Linked DNA regions of Pelodiscus sinensis. The protein of the gene in region 1 purifies or fractionates together with the protein of each later gene. This does not show direct contact. Links are inferred from orthologs where the notes say so. Each region holds a gene or a part of one and is shown on either strand. Other genes may lie near its edges.

What was found. Proteins that work in one complex are often made in the same cells at the same time.
Region 2: the proteins of RPA2 (region 1) and ATRIP purify together in Homo sapiens (affinity purification with western blotting; 5 studies listed by BioGRID, with this or other methods). This does not show direct contact. The link is inferred for Pelodiscus sinensis from reciprocal best matches to the Homo sapiens genes RPA2 and ATRIP.

Annotation. Positions count from the first base shown.
Region 1 is NC_134735.1:22,902,137-22,909,873, forward strand, and holds the start of RPA2 (replication protein A 32 kDa subunit), read right to left. Parts: upstream 3,016-7,737; 5' UTR 2,999-3,015; coding exon 2,860-2,998; intron 1,685-2,859; coding exon 1,581-1,684; intron 1-1,580. Other genes in the region: SMPDL3B (acid sphingomyelinase-like phosphodiesterase 3b), read left to right, coding at 6,645-6,714. UniProt on the Homo sapiens protein: As part of the heterotrimeric replication protein A complex (RPA/RP-A), binds and stabilizes single-stranded DNA intermediates that form during DNA replication or upon DNA stress.
Region 2 is NC_134721.1:39,614,226-39,622,073, reverse strand, and holds the start of ATRIP (ATR-interacting protein), read right to left. Parts: upstream 3,008-7,848; 5' UTR 1,220-3,007; coding exon 763-1,219; intron 1-762. UniProt on the Homo sapiens protein: Required for checkpoint signaling after DNA damage. Required for ATR expression, possibly by stabilizing the protein.

The sequences.
Region 1 (7,737 bases):
TAATATTTTACTTTATTTAAAATAAAGTTTGATAAACTAACATGAGAAAGTTAAAATGCTTAATTTGTTTAATAATTTAAATTAAACCATTTTCCCTGGCTGCAGCACTAGCAAAATGGCTCGGATGTAGTTAACAGAGAGTTTCCATTAACAACTGGTGGTCGGTGGAAAGGTTTGCCTTGAGCCAGGTGGTCCACGGACCAAAAAGTTTGAGAACCACTGTGCTAGAGGGTGATTGCTGCCCAGGCTACGGCTCCTGGGCTGGGAGGAAGCAGGGGCGACAGAGGAAAACCCCTATCCCAAGTTTTTCCTGTGATTTAATCTGAATCTGCTCCACTGCAGCTTGGGCCCACTACCCTTTGTCCTGACTTTTGTGGCAAGAGAAAACTGTTTTCCATCTTTTTATGGCAGTCTTTCAAATATTTGAAGTCTGGTATCATGTTCCCCCTCAGTCTCTTTTTTCCCCCCAAACTAAACATACCCAGTTCCTACAGCCTTGCATTCCATCCCTTTGATCATCTTTTTTCTGCAGCCTTTCTATACATTGGTGACCAAAACTGGGCACAGTACTCCAGCTGAGGCTCAATCAGCATCAAACAGAGCAGTACTATCACTACCTGTGACTTGCCTCCTATGCATCTGTTAATGCAGCCTAAAATTGTATTTGCTTTTTTTTTTTTTTTTGAAACAATATCACATTACTGATTCATGTTGTGATTGAGATGTTCAAAGAGATTTACAAACACTGAGGCTGTGTCAGCATTATTGTAACTGAATCTGTGACCAGTTAGTCCCAGAGACAGCTCTAACCATGGTTTGAGTTCACTCACAACTGGTACTCTTTAGAATCACAACAGTCAGTCATGCTTTCCAGTGGCCTAGGCTGGCACACAGCCGTTTTCCTCCACAAGGTATGTTGGCTTTGTTTTTCACTATGTAGAAGGAAACGCCTGAATAAGTTTGTGTCACAGGGATGGCCTGTCTTCCACCTTCCTTACAGCTTACCCTATGCACTCTTACTATCCGTCCAGGTGCATGTCCTTCATGCTCCATTATTCCCCTGCTGAGAACATTTAGGATAGTTTGCCCAATTTTCCCTGATACAAACACAGTAGGCAACATGACAGACAAAGGAATATTTTACACATTCTTCTGATGCGGAGGAAAAAAATGCAGAGCTCAGCCATGTTTGGTGTAACCAGGTTAAGTAGCCATAAAATGAATTACAACTGCAACATTTAATTAAGACACAACATTCTGTGAATAAATATCTATTCTGAGAAGGGAAGTCAAAATACAGTATAAGTTACTTGCCAAAGGTCATAAAACACATTGAGGGAAGGACCAAGGCCAAAACCTAGCTCCTAGGCCACTGTACTCCTCCCATCACTGCTTCCCAATTCAATGTTATATTGAAGCTTCTCTCTTATCCCTAATACCGTACAATTTGTTCTCTGCTGGGAGAGGTATAGATAATCCTTCTCATGACAGCAACATAAAGATCAAAACTCTCATGGGAACCTCCCTAGTGTGACCAGGCACCCAGTTCTCCCATTCTTTAAAACCCTTCCACTACATACCTGTTTCTTTTCTCCCTGGGTGGCTGCTGGAGAGCCAAACCCCCCTGGGGACTGTGTGTATCCACCACTAATTGAAGACCCACCATAGCCACCGTCAAAGCCACCTAGGGTAGGGGGGAAAGAATCACAGTTACTAATACATTGTTGCCAATCCCAAGTGTTCAAAAATCACAAGTTATACCAAATAGTCGTGCAATTAGCTTACAATTAGACAAAATAAAGTATAGTAAATACCACCCAAAATGTACATTATATTACTGAGCTCTTTGGGTCACTCAGGTGTTTTCCAGCAGCCGTATCCAGTAGAGGGAAAGCTGAGACTCTCACATATTCACTTAATTCAAACAGCCAAACTTACATTCTCCCCACCTGTAAGTCTTACTCCCCAGCAGCCTGCATTTTTAACCTGCACTCAAGTCCAAACCCCACCAAAGTTCAAAGAAGGCACCAGAACGCTAAGCTCATGGGGACGCCAGGTCACAGAAAGGGGCAATGCCATAGGGTCAGCGACCTGGCCTCAGCAACCTATAGCGTCTCACAAGGTGAGACACATGCCTCATCGCCCCAGCCCCTCCCCCAACACCCTGCCACCCCCCCCATCGCCCCAGCCCCTCCCCCAACACCCTGCCACCCCCCCAGCCCCTCCCCCAACACCCTGCCATCCCCCCAGCCCCTCCCCCAACACCCTGCCATCCCCCCAGCCCCTCCCCCAACACCCTGCCATCGCCCCAGCCCCTCCCCCAACACCCTGCCATCCCCCCCATCGCCCCAGCCCCTCCCCCAACACCCTGCCATCCCCCCCAGCCCCTCCCCCAACACCCTGCCATCCCCCCCATCGCCCCAGCCCCTCCCCCAACACCCTGCCAGCCCCCCCAGCCCCTCCCCCAACACCCTGCCAGCCCCCCCAGCCCCTCCCCCAACACCCTGCCACCTCCCCCCAGCCCCTCCCCCAACACCCTGCCATCCCCCCAGCCCCTCCCCCAACACCCTGCCATCCCCCCAGCCCCTCCCCCAACACCCTGCCATCCCCCCCATCGCCCCAGCCCCTCCCCCAACACCCTGCCATCCCCCCCAGCCCCTCCCCCAACACCCTGCCATCCCCCCCATCGCCCCAGCCCCCCCCAACACCCTGCCAGCCCCCCCAGCCCCTCCCCCAACACCCTGCCAGCCCCCCCAGCCCCTCCCCCAACACCCTGCCAGCCCCCCCATCGCCCCAGCCCCTCCCCCAACACCCTGCCAGCCCCCCCCCAGCCCCTCCCCCAACACCCTGCCCCCCTACCGTGACCGCTCCACATGGCGGCGGCTGCGGACGCTCCAACAGACGCTCGGCTCCGTCGCGCCTCAAATAACCGCCCAATCGGCGAGCCCGCGGCGCTCCAGCCAATCGGCTCCCGCATGGCGAGGGGCGGCGCCACCATCTCCTTCCGGTGGCCTCCGACCCGCGGACGGAAGCGCCGCCGACGCCATCTTTGCTATTGGCGCCGCCCCCTGAGGTCAGTCAGACACGCTCCTCCCAGCGCTGCGGCACGTGCCGTCGTTAGGCTCCTGGGTTAACGCCTCGTGCGCGGGGCTGGGGCAGCTACTGAGCCGGGCTCGGCCCCGCGTCCCGCTCGCCTGGGTCCCCCGGCGCCAGCCCCCAGGGATCGGGGCCCGGCCCCCCGACGCGCCGCCGCGAGTGAACGTGGGAGGCTCCGGCCGCCCAGGCCCAAGAGCCGTTTGTCCCGGGCGCGGCCAGTCTCCGGGGTGCGGGAGACCGAGGGGCGCTCCAGGCCACGCCCGGGTCTCGCTCCCGGAGCAGGGGAAGCGGCGCGCGCCAAAAGGGGAGTCGCGGTTTGCGAGGAACGTGGCTGCAGACGCGGCCTTACCGCCCCCCCCCACTTCCCGCGGCCTTACCGCCCCCCCCCACTTCCCGCGGCCTTACCGCCCCCCCCCCTTCCCGCGGCCTTACCGCCCCCGGCCCTACCGCCCCCCCCCTTCCCGCGGCCCTACCGCCCCCCCCCTTCCCGCGGCCCTACCGCCCCCCCCTTCCCGCGGCCCTACCGCCCCCCCCTTCCCGCGGCCCTACCGCCCCCCCCTTCCCGCGGCCCTACCGCCCCCCCCTTCCCGCGGCCCTACCGCCCCCCCCCTTCCCGCGGCCTTACCGCCCCCCCCCCTTCCCGCGGCCTTACCGCCCCCCCCCTTCCCGCGGCCTTACCGCCCCCCCCCCCTTCCCGCGGCCTTACCGCCCCCCCCCCTTCCCGCGGCCTTACCGCCCCCCCCCCCTTCCCGCGGCCTTACCGCCCCCCCCCCTTCCCGCGGCCTTACCGCCCCCCCCCCTTCCCGCGGCCTTACCGCCTCCCCCCTTCCCGCGGCCTTACCGCCCCCCCCCCTTCCCGCGGCCTTACCGCCCCCCCCCCTTCCCGCGGCCTTACCGCCCCCCCCCCTTCCCGCGGCCTTACCCCCCCCCCCTTCCCGCGGCCTTACCGCCCCCCCCCCTTCCCGCGGCCTTACCGCCCCCCCCCCTTCCCGCGGCCTTACCGCCCCCCCCCTTCCCGCGGCCCTACCGCCCCCCCCCCTTCCCGCGGCCTTACCGCCCCCGGCCCTACCGCCCCCCCCCCTTCCCGCGGCCCTACCGCCCCCCCCCCTTCCCGCGGCCTTACCGCCCCCGGCCCTACGGCCCCCCCCTTCCCGCGGCCCTACCGCCCCCCCCCCTTCCCGCGGCCCTACCGCCCCCCCCCTTCCCGCGGCCCTACCGCCCCCCCCTTCCCGCGGCCCTACCGCCCCCCCCTTCCCGCGGCCTTACCGCCCCCCCCCTTCCCGCGGCCTTACCGCCCCCCCCCTTCCCGCGGCCTTACCGCCCCCCCCCTTCCCGCGGCCTTACCGCCCCCCCCTTCCCGCAGCCTTACCGCCCCCCCCCTTCCCGCGGCCTTACCGCCCCCCCCCTTCCCGCGGCCTTACCGCCCCCCCCCCTTCCCGCGGCCTTACCGCCCCCCCCCCTTCCCGCGGCCTTACCGCCCCCCCCCCCTTCCCGCGGCCTTACCGCCCCCCCCCTTCCCGCGGCCTTACCGCCCCCCCCCCTTCCCGCGGCCTTACCGCCCCCCCCCTTCCCGCGGCCTTACCGCCCCCCCCCCTTCCCGCGGCCTTACCGCCCCCCCCCCTTCCCGCGGCCTTACCGCCCCCCCCCCTTCCCGCGGCCCTACCGCCCCCCCCCCTTCCCGCGGCCCTACCGCCCCCCCCCCTTCCCGCGGCCCTACCGCCCCCCCCCCTTCCCGCGGCCCTACCGCCCCCCCCCTTCCCGCGGCCCTACCGCCCCCCCCCTTCCCGCGGCCCTACCGCCCCCCCCCCTTCCCGCGGCCCTACCGCCCCCCCCCCTTCCCGCGGCCCTACCGCCCCCCCCCTTCCCGCGGCCCTACCGCCCCCCCCCTTCCCGCGGCCTTACCGCCCCCCCCCACTTCCCGCGGCCTTACCGCCCCCCCCCACTTCCCGCGGCCTTACCGCCCCCCCCCACTTCCCGCGGCCTTACCGCCCCCCCCCACTTCCCGCGGCCTTACCGCCCCCCCCCACTTCCCGCGGCCTTACCGCCCCCCCCCTTCCCGCGGCCCTACCGCCCCCCCCCTTCCCGCGGCCCTACCGCCCCCCCCCCTTCCCGCGGCCCTACCGCCCCCCCCTTCCCGCGGCCCTACCGCCCCCCCCCTTCCCGCGGCCTTACCGCCCCCCCCCACTTCCCGCGGCCTTACCGCCCCCCCCCACTTCCCGCGGCCTTACCGCCCCCCCCCACTTCCCGCGGCCTTACCGCCCCGCCCCCCCCCACTTCCCGCGGCCTTACCGCCCCGCCCCCCCCCCACTTCCCGCGGCCTTACCGCCCCGCGCCCCCCCCACTTCCCGCGGCCTTACCGCCCCGCCCCCCCCACTTCCCGCGGCCCTACCGCCCCCCCCCACTTCCCGCGGCCCTACCGCCCCCCCCCACTTCCCGCGGCCCTACCGCCCCCCCCCACTTCCCGCGGCCTTACCGCCCCCCCCCCCTTCCCGCGGCCTTACCGCCCCCCCCCACTTCCCGCGGCCCTACCGCCCCGCCCCCCCCCCACTTCCCGCGGCCCTACCGCCCCCCCACTTCCCGCGGCCCTACCGCCCCCCCCCCACTTCCCGCGGCCCTACCGCCCCCCCCCTTCCCGCGGCCGCCGCGGGCGGGTGGAGGCAGGAGCTGCTTGGACACGTAAGGGCACGTTCGGAGGGGTGTAGCACGGCGGTGCCGCCGGTCGCTGACATTCTCTACGCCATTCGCAGGGGCTTTTGGGGATGCTGCTGAGGCAGCTGATGGGTGACCCTCCACTACTCACTGTGGTGGGCATGGCAGGGTTGCTGGCTGATTCGTTTCTCGCCACTTGGGATAATGCAGCCCATCAGTACGGGGGTAGGGGAAGTATTTCAGGCAGCTGGGAAGAAGCTGGGAAGTAGGGCTAGATGTGAGACCTGGGCTGGGAATGCAGTGAGTTAGGCAGGACTTAGTAATGGGATGTGGTAGTGAGAAGGCCCCTGTGATTTCAGTTGGCACCTGCACAAGAGTCCTGTGATGGAGCAAGAGGTGAGATGTCCTTTGTGTAAGGGACTGGTCTCTGCATCCTGTTCCAGGCACTTGCCCCCGGAAAGGTACCAAGAAAGTAGAACAGATTCTGAGAACAGCAACCAAAGTGCTGGTGAGGGAGGGAAGTGAGGCACTAGGCACCCTGAGTCTGGCTGGGTGGTGAGCAACAGGCCACCTAAAACCTGCCAGTAGATATTTGAGGTAATCTAAATATTCAGACCCCAGTAGGGAATTCACTCCTGCCCTGTACCTTATTTTTGCTGGCTTAACCAACAAAACCAGCCTCCCTGGAGAATGCCACCGGCTCCAGCAGCAGCGGTGCCCAGATTGGGCTGCAAGGGACCCTCCATGGGCTGAGAATCTTTCTTAAGGCAAGCTAGAAGTGCTCCCATTTCACACATTGCCAGGAAGTCAGGTGAGGTGACAGCTGCCTGGGATTGGCTCTTCTCAACAGCAAAGTGGCAATTAGTCAGCAGCTGTCAGAGCTCCCCATTCCAGTTCAGATGGATGCCTTGAGGTTCCTGCTGCTGCTAATGCACTGCAGAATTGCTGCTGCTGCCGCCGCCACCCAAGGTAACAGCCCTCATGAGTTTTCTGTGCCTGCCTGATTTTGCTAGGTCTGGAGGAAGCGTTCCTCCTTCCAAGGGAAGATTTGCCATAGCTTGGTTTCTACTTGACTTCCAAACTAAACTTGGCTTGCTCACGTCTCTTTAAACGAGCTGCAAGATGTGAACAGACCCAGGGCTTCTGGGGCAGCACATGACTGGCTCTCCTGGCATTCATGAAGTTGATTTTTGTCAGCCCACTGATGGGATTGTGTTGAGGCCAACCCTGCCTTGAGGCGCAGGCAGAAAGCATTGGGTGAGGCACAGGATGAGTGAGCTCTCAGCCCTGCCTCTGTTACTGCAAAATCATGGCAAACTTAGAAAAGGCACCTTCTTTACATGTTAGTTTAGCACCCCCAGACAGCCCCGTGACAGATGAGTGGGCAATGGCTCCTGTGTGCAGCAAGTGGGGGTTGGTGGCTCGGGCAGCTGGTTATGTCAGAAGGTGAGTGTGTCTGCATGTTTCTTTTTCACTGGGCAATAGATGAGAATTGTATTAAAACCCCAGGAAAATGGGATTAAAAAAAATAATAATAAATGTAGGTTGTTCCTTTAATTGTGTTGGATTTAGGCACTACTTGTTGGCTCCAGCTGATAAGACATGGACTCTGCCCTGAGGAACATGCAGTCCAAGTGCAATCCTAGCTCAAGGGAAGAGAGTTAAGATGGGGGGAGGGCTGGCAAGAAGTAGGGCTGTGTGTGGTTATAGGACTGCTTTGAATTGCTGTGGCCTCACTGGGAGTGTTTCTTAGTGGCTAGTGTGGCAGCTGGGCCTTCAAAGGAGTCAGCGCTCCTGGTACTAAAATTCTGCCCTTCCAAGTGTGCAGCCCCTGGGGGAGGCAGAAGCTGACCAACAGCACACTCAGCTGCACACTCTGCACTGCAGCTGCAGTGAGGAACAGAATGCACATCCCCCCAACTTGCATCAACATGGAACCCAGACACGCAGGTTTCTCAGCAAGAGCCGGCTCCTCGTGCCCACGAAGCACTC
Region 2 (7,848 bases), on another chromosome or scaffold:
ATATGATATTATGAACAGGTCACCTTCCCTTCTCTCCTAAGGGGAAGTTTAAAAGTCACTTATAAGTATGACAGATATTACACAACCACATATGTAGCCTAGTAGTTAGAATTGATGTCTGGGAAGCCAGATCTCCTGCTTTCTAATTCCATTTCTGCCCACAGCTTGTCCTCAAGCAAGCTACTTCACTTCATTGTGCCTCAGTTTAATCATCTGCATGCGATTCAAAGGCATTGTGACACTAAGTTAAAGCTTGCTAATTAGTTTACATTCTTAAGATAAGGCACCACACACGTAAAAAAAGATAGATTACTGTCATTTCAAAGTATGATCTTTCCAAATGATCACTTTCATATACTTGGAGCACAACTTCTGGCTACTTCTTACTTAATGCTATTTTATGACACGTAGTTATACTATATGGCAAATTCTATAACTTGTTCTTTAAGACATGTTGTCAGATGTACATACCAACTCTGAATGTTGATGGTTAAGTTATCCAGAAGCTAAGATTTGCCTGATAATTAAAACATTTTTTCAAATAATCCTAGTAATTCAAGATAGCGTCAAGAACCTAAGTGAACATTTCAGCAACAATGAAATTTACTTTTGGGTTGAGCTTAGATAATCTAGTCAAAAAAGTTAATTATTTTATACATTTTTCTAGGAAGTTTAGCATTTCAAACCTCAGATCTGGAGCATAAGGAGGCACTAAGCCATTCAAATCCCCAGCTATACTCCCCTATTCCAGAATACACATACCGAACTGGTCTTTCCTTCTTTTTTCAGCACTAGAGGGAACACTCCATAGTTCAATATTCACAGACTTTTGATTAGCGTTACTCGGAGATAACAACGGTCTGGAATTCTGCTCGGGTTTCTGGATGCTATTTGAATCTAGATCTTGTGATAAAGCCTGTGAGGCAATTATGTCTATTTCTTCCAAGTCATCAGCTGTAAAGTCATCATTGTCTCCAAAATAATGTTCTGTTTGTTTGGACTTGGACTCAAAACCTTTGTAACGCTTGTTTGGTGGAAAGCCATCTCCATGGTTCCCAATACATCCTCGACTAGTGGATTCTCGATAAACAGAAGATGAAGCCATACTCTGTGCCTGGTCCACACCATATAATATGGAGCTATTTCTCTTCTTATTCGCAAATAATGAGTTTATCGACATTGTGCAGAAAAATTTAACCTGTGAAACAAAATAAAGCATTTTAATCCTCAAAGAATCTTTTTCCAAATCAAATATATTCTACAAAATACAAACAATTGAACCTCTGAAGAAACATGTGCTAGCACACAATGATCAGGGTTCAAGAGTCTCTAATGCACTCCCTCACTAACTGACTGGAAAAGAGGACATGTGAACTCCAGAGCTTCCTATCCATTTCAAACGGGCTTTGGATCATTTAAATCAAAGCTTCGTGGTAACAGAAAAGAATGAAAGAAACAACTGTAGGTTTTTTTACAGCCATGAGAAAAATGTCATTCTACAGAATATTATTTAAGACCATAGAAATATAACAACAGGACTCCAAGAGGAGCAGATCTATGAATTGAAAGGGCAAAACGCTAGTGATGTTAGATAGCGTGTAACTGAATAGTCATGTTAAAACATCAAGTTTCAGCAGTTAAACAACTATTCAATAGTCTCCAGGGGTGGGACCAGCAGCCAGTGCGCTCGCGGCAGCCTACCCTGTCCTACTGCCACATACAGGCAGCAGTGGGGTGGGGGGGGGAAGGGCACAGGCAGCTCCGTGGAGCAGTGCTCAGGGGAAGCTGGCTCCTGCCTGCCCCAGAATGCCTGCAGTTGACAGGATTAACCAATAAGCCCAGGCTTATCAGTTAAATGTATAGTCGTTTACACGGTGACATCCCTACAAAATACCTTTTCAAAAACTGTTCTAGAGGAGGACAAAAAAGGAGATGTGCCCGTGTTCTTTCCATCCCTACATAAGAATACATGCCTTGAAATTATGTATTTCATGTTTTCCAAGAGAAGCACACATTATGATCTCAGATTCTAGGATCTCCTTGTTTAAGTCACACAAACCTAAAACTGTTAGAGTACACTTAAAAAGGGGAAAACATTTTTTGAAGTTGTATTAGAGTCTAGAGGACTGGTCACCAACCAGTAGATCGGGATCTACTGGTAGATCTTGGAGCCTGACAGGTGATCTTTACTGGTTTAGCCAAGAAGCTATCAGATGCTGGCACTTCAGCTGCCCCTCCTCCCACTGCCACGCACCTCTTGCCCTTGTTTCTCCCCCACCCCTTGCTGAGCAGGGCAGAGAAGGGGCACTGATGTCAGGGTGCCCCCACTCCTACCCTGTATTCTAACTCCACAGAATGGAGGGGGGGGGGGCACAACAGGACTTGGGATGGGGTTTGCTGGCTGCTTTTGAGAGTGGTGCAGGGCCAGGGCAGGGGTGAACCTGCCTTAGCCTCACTGCATCACTTGTGAGTGTCCAACTGGAGCTTGCATCCTGAACCCGTCCCAGTCATAGACTCCCTCTTGCACGTCAAGCCCCTGCTCTAGCCCCAAGCCCTCCTAGACCCAAACTCCCTTACAGAGTCTGTACCCAGAACCACCTGCTGCACCCTCATCTCTGTGCCCCAGGCTCAGCTCAGAGCAACTTCAAATCACTTAACATTTCAAATCTCTCAAGCCAAGATCAGAGCCTGAACCCCAACCCTCTGCCTGTACCTGTTGAAAAGGAGGAAGGATGGAGGGAGGGAAGATGAAGTGGGCAGAGCCCTGGAGAAGGAGGCAGGGCAAGGGTATTTGGGTTTGAGATAGATCCTGGATTACACTTAAATTCAAAAAAGTAATCTTGTGCTTAAAAAGGCTGGAGATCACTGGTCTACAGCACTGTCAAAATTGCTAACATTTATAACAGCAAAAATTCTGATAACATCATTACAATTTTATTTTATTCCCTCTCGGTTAGAAAAGCAACAATGTGTTTATTACTCTGATCTTACAGATTACAAGACACCACAGATGAATTCAAAGGGGGCAACTGTCAAGAAAGTAAGCAAGTACCCATACACCAGTGGCCACCAACTAGTTGAGTGCCATCAGCTTGTTGATCCTGGGGTCTCCCGGTTGATCACAATCGCTGGTAGTGGGACAGGGCAGCGGCAGCTAAGGCAGACCCATGCGGCAGATCCATTCCAGGAAGGAGCCAGCACCAGCCCCTGAACGGAGGGGGGAGGAGGAGAAAAGGGGAGGTGTGAGGGAGCAGGCGGCTCGCGAGGTTAAAGTGTTCCAGGGGGGTGGCCGCCTTAGTCCGGCTGCGGGGCAGGGAGGCGCACGGCTCCGCTCAGCTGGGCTACACAAAGCCCCGCGCGCAGGTAAAGCGCCACGCGGGGAGAAATCCACAAGCCACCGGTCAGCACACACGCGCCGCTTCTACTCGCGCCCAGGGCGCGGAGCAAACCCGGCCTCCGGCCGCTGCATGACCCGGCGGAGCCGCTCCGACGCGAGGCGCGCCACAGAGACACAGGCCGGCCCGACGCCCCCACAGGCCCGGGGCGCTGGACTCAAGGCCCCCCACTAGGGCGCGCCTACAGCGGCTCCCCCCGGCACGGCGGGACGCGGGCCCGGCGAGAGGAGCTTTGCTCGGTGCCCGACGTGCCTGCGCGCTCGGTTCCGGCCCGCACCGACCTCGGGCGGCCCCGACCGGGGCAGCGCAGCGCCCCGCGGGGAGGCAGGAGGATCCGTTACCCCGCGCGCCACCTCTGCCTTCTCAGGCCCTCCCGCCAGCGCCGCCCAATCAGAGCATCAGTATCCAGCCGGCGTCACTCGCTACGGCAGCCCGGAAGGATCAGCTAGACAGGGGCGGGGAGGGGCTGGATGTAAGAGTCTCAGCGATTGGCCAGCTGTGTAAGCTTGTCAGTTATTGGCCACGCGCTCGCGATAAGGCCTAGAACCGCAGGCTTCCTTTGCTACCGGACTCGGGGCCAGCTGCGGAGTCTGGAGCCCGCTGGGTGACGGGGCTGGAGCCAGCAGGCGGCACAAAGCCCCCCGCAGCGTGGCCTCAAAGCCTTCCCAAATTATGTAATGGCGTGTGACATCACGGCCTAGGCAAGGAACAGCAAGGTCCTGGAGGCCACATTTAAGCTGCTTGGAAAGAGACTGAAACCCAGGACCTCAATGGCGGGCTGTGTCTACACGGCACGATCTCGCGCAAAAACTTGCTGCCTGTCTACACTGGGTGCAAGTTCTTGCGCAAGTAAACTGGCGTTTTAATGTGTGAAATCAGGGCTTCCTGCGCCAGAGCTCTGACGCACCCGCTCAGGAATAAGACCTTTTGTGCAGCTGTTTTTGCGGAAAAGCGTCCTTGCCAATCTAGACGCTCTTGCGGAAAAGCATTTGCGGAAAATCATGCCAGTCTAGACGTAGCAAAAGCATTTTTGCAGAAGAACTCTTTCACGAAAGAGTTTTTGTGTGAGAACGCACCAGTGTAGACATAGCCATAGGGTTTTCTGAAATGCTCCCAGTTCCACCATGTAACCAGTGAGACTTGCAGAAAGTGTCTATGGAGGTTAGTCACCAGTGAGCTGGAGACAAGCCTTTGCCCTAGGGCTCTCTTGTGCAAGTTTGCACCAGAATAGCCAATTTCTGCTTCATTCCTCTTTGCTCCCACTGAGCCAGTTCTCAAAGCCTTTTGTTACTTATATGAAGAGCTAATGTTCAGACCAGCCCTTCCACTCCCAAACAAAAGTGTATCCCCACTCCTGTGTGTGCCATATTTAGATTAGCCTAAATAATTTGCTGTACCCACAGCTGCTCAGACTAACCCTGACCCTACTAGTCGTGGCATTGGATGCCCCCAGAAACACACTAAAACCTAGCCCCAATGCACTCCCAGCCTCTCTGCCCCCCGCGGCAAGCAGGGGAGACCCGGGATTGGGAGTCCCGTTCATGCAGCAGTGCAGCAGGCACACGCCGCATGGCGGAGTGACTCTGGGTGCTGGGGTATTTTAGCACCTCCATAGGTTGGCGCCCCAGGCACCTGCCCGGCTAGCTTGCCCCTTAATCCGGCCCTGGTCATCGGCTGCACAGTGAGTCCCTGTGGGCCAAATGTTGTGCAGGCCTGATGTAGAGCCTTGAAAATGTGAGGATCAGGCGTTTAGGGTATGTCTTACATCAATGGTTGCAAATATACAAATAAAATGTTACTGGTCCACCAAAAGCCCCGGCCTACAAAGTCCCCCAGTGCCAGCCCTGACCCCTAGAGCCCCCCAGCCCTCTACTACTCCCCAGCACCAGCTACTGACCCCAGCACCCAATGCTCCCCAGTGCCAGTCAGCCTCCTGCTCTCAGAGCCCCCCAGTGCCAGCCCCCACCCATTAGAGCACCCCCACCAGGCCCCCAGTGCCAGCCTCCTGTTTCCAGAGCCCCACTGAAACCAACTCCCCCAGAGCTTCCCCCAGTTCCCAATATTAGCCCTATTCCCAGAACCCCCCAGTGCCAGCCTTGCCCCCAAAGCCCCGCTACTACTAGCCCCTCCCCCAGGGCTCCTCAGTGCCAGTTCCCCACCTCTTAGAGGCACCCACCCTCAGAGCTCCCCAGCACTAGACCCACCCCCAGAGCCTCCAGTGCCTACCCTGCCCCCCTACCTAGCCCTGCAGTGCCTCCCAGCTGACAGCTGAGCACTGCTGCCTCCGTTACAGCTACTCTAAGGTTGCGGAGTTGAGCTCCGCACAGCTCTCCTGCAGTGAACGACTCTTCTGCGTCCGAAAAGAGAACCCACCCCTGCCAGGCCTGGCAACAGCCCATCCCCCAACACATGCACAGGATTGGCTGTGTCTGTGGCACAAGTGACAGGGGCGGTTGCATGTTACTGGTGGTTTGAGAGTTCCTCCCCAGGCTGTTAACAGTCAGGGCCTACAGACACAAGGTAACACAGCCCATGCGCATCTCTGTCTCATGGCACCCACCTGGCAACTGGGCACTACTAGCCTCCTGACACCTGCTGGTTTGTCAGGGAGCCCAGCTCCCCACGCACAACTCCAACCGGCGCTGGCAGCTGCAGCATCCTGGGTCATTGGGAAGTGGGTATGGTGGTATGTAGGGCAGGCTGGAGCTAGGGATGCCAGGTGTCTGGTTTTGACCTGGACAGTCCAGTATTTGAGGGTTCTGTCCGGGAAACAAATTAAGAAAATACCAGACATAAATGTCTGGTATTTTCTAATTAAGTTAGTTTTATTATTATGAGTATCAATATGTAGTTGCGATGAGGAGTCCTGTGGCACCTTATAGACTAACTGAAGTGTAGGAGCATAAGCTTTCGTGGGCAAAGACCCACTTCGTCAGATGCATGTAGAAATTTCCACTACATGCATCTGACGAAGTGGGTCTTTGCCCACGAAAGCTTATGCTCCTACACTTCAGTTAGTCTATAAGGTGCCACAGGACTCCTCATCGCTTTTGCAGATTCAGACTAACACGGCTACCCCTCTGAATATGTAGTTGCATACTGCCTGGCTAGTAAACACGCTCACACTGTGTGAGGGTGTCTACCAGCCAGGCAATACGCAACTACATGCGCAGGAGGGGAGTGGTCGGAACTGAGGCAGGATGGAATCCCAGGGGCCGGACTCACTAGTGCTTCGCCGAGACCGTGGGAAGGACGGGCAGCGCCCGGGTCAGTCGATTCTCCGCCAGCCAGTTCTCTCCCCCCGCTTCCCCTCCCGGCCAGCCCTGCTCCCCACTGGCCGGTTCTCCCCCGGCCAGCCTCACTCTTTCCAACCCCCTCCTGGCCAGCCCTGCTTCCCGCCAGCCAGTTCCCCTCTCCCCGGACCTCCTCCCGGCCAGCCCCGTTCCCCTCCTGGCCGGTCCCCCCCACCCCATCTGAGATCAGTGTGTCCACTATTTTTTTTAAGCCATCTGGTAACCCTAGCTGGAGCTGGCAGGGGAGACCCCATGGGGGAAGCCAAGCTCTGCTGGACGAGGGACAGAAATCAAGGACACCCAGTGCGGCTTCCTGGGGGCTCTAACCTGATTCTCCTTGGTAATATTGATAAAGGCTGGGATGCTCATGGCTACGAAGGCTCCGCTCCCTGGTCCCAAACGCGCCACCTGCAACGGAAAAGACACAAGGCAGCCACCAACTATGCAGCCCTGCCGGCCTTGTCTGGAACCAGGGTCATGGTGAGGCTGCCCCAGTAGGGACAGCCTCACCACGGGCTGGCTTCAGCTGAGGCATACGGGGCAGCCCCCAGCACCACTCACCTTGGGAAGAACAGCAGCATGAGTAACTCTGAGAGCTCTCTGTGCTGAGGAGTGTCAAAGCGGTGCAACGATCTATCCCTCTACTTGTGTGCTCCTAGTGCAGAGCAGAACAGTAGTCCAATGATTTGCTCTTTGTTTGTTCCCCAAACCGAGCAGTGTGCTCAGCAGCCAGACATTTCCTTGAGCTTTGAAAATGGACAGGTGCATGCATGCAAGGCAGCAGAGATCAAAACACTGAGCAGAGCTATCAGGGCAGGCATTGTGGGATACTGGCGAAAGCCAGTTCTGACAACAAAAGAAACAGCAGTATCTAGACTGGCTCTTTGTTGACAATAAAGGGAGGGAAAAAGAAAAAAGTCTCTTATAGGGAAGTGTGATGGGGTGCCGGGCTCCACTGCGGAGAAGCACATGGCACCCCGCACTCCCCTGCATGTCATGGCAGCAGGAGGAGACGGGCCCCAGGGACGCCGCTGGGTACAGGCTGCGTCTCGGCACGCATGCCCAGAATGTACCAGGGCAGCCAGGGGCCAAGACGTCACTGGCGGGGGTTTCCCCGCGGCTGATGTCATCAACCCACGCCCCAGGGAGGGGGTCAGGAG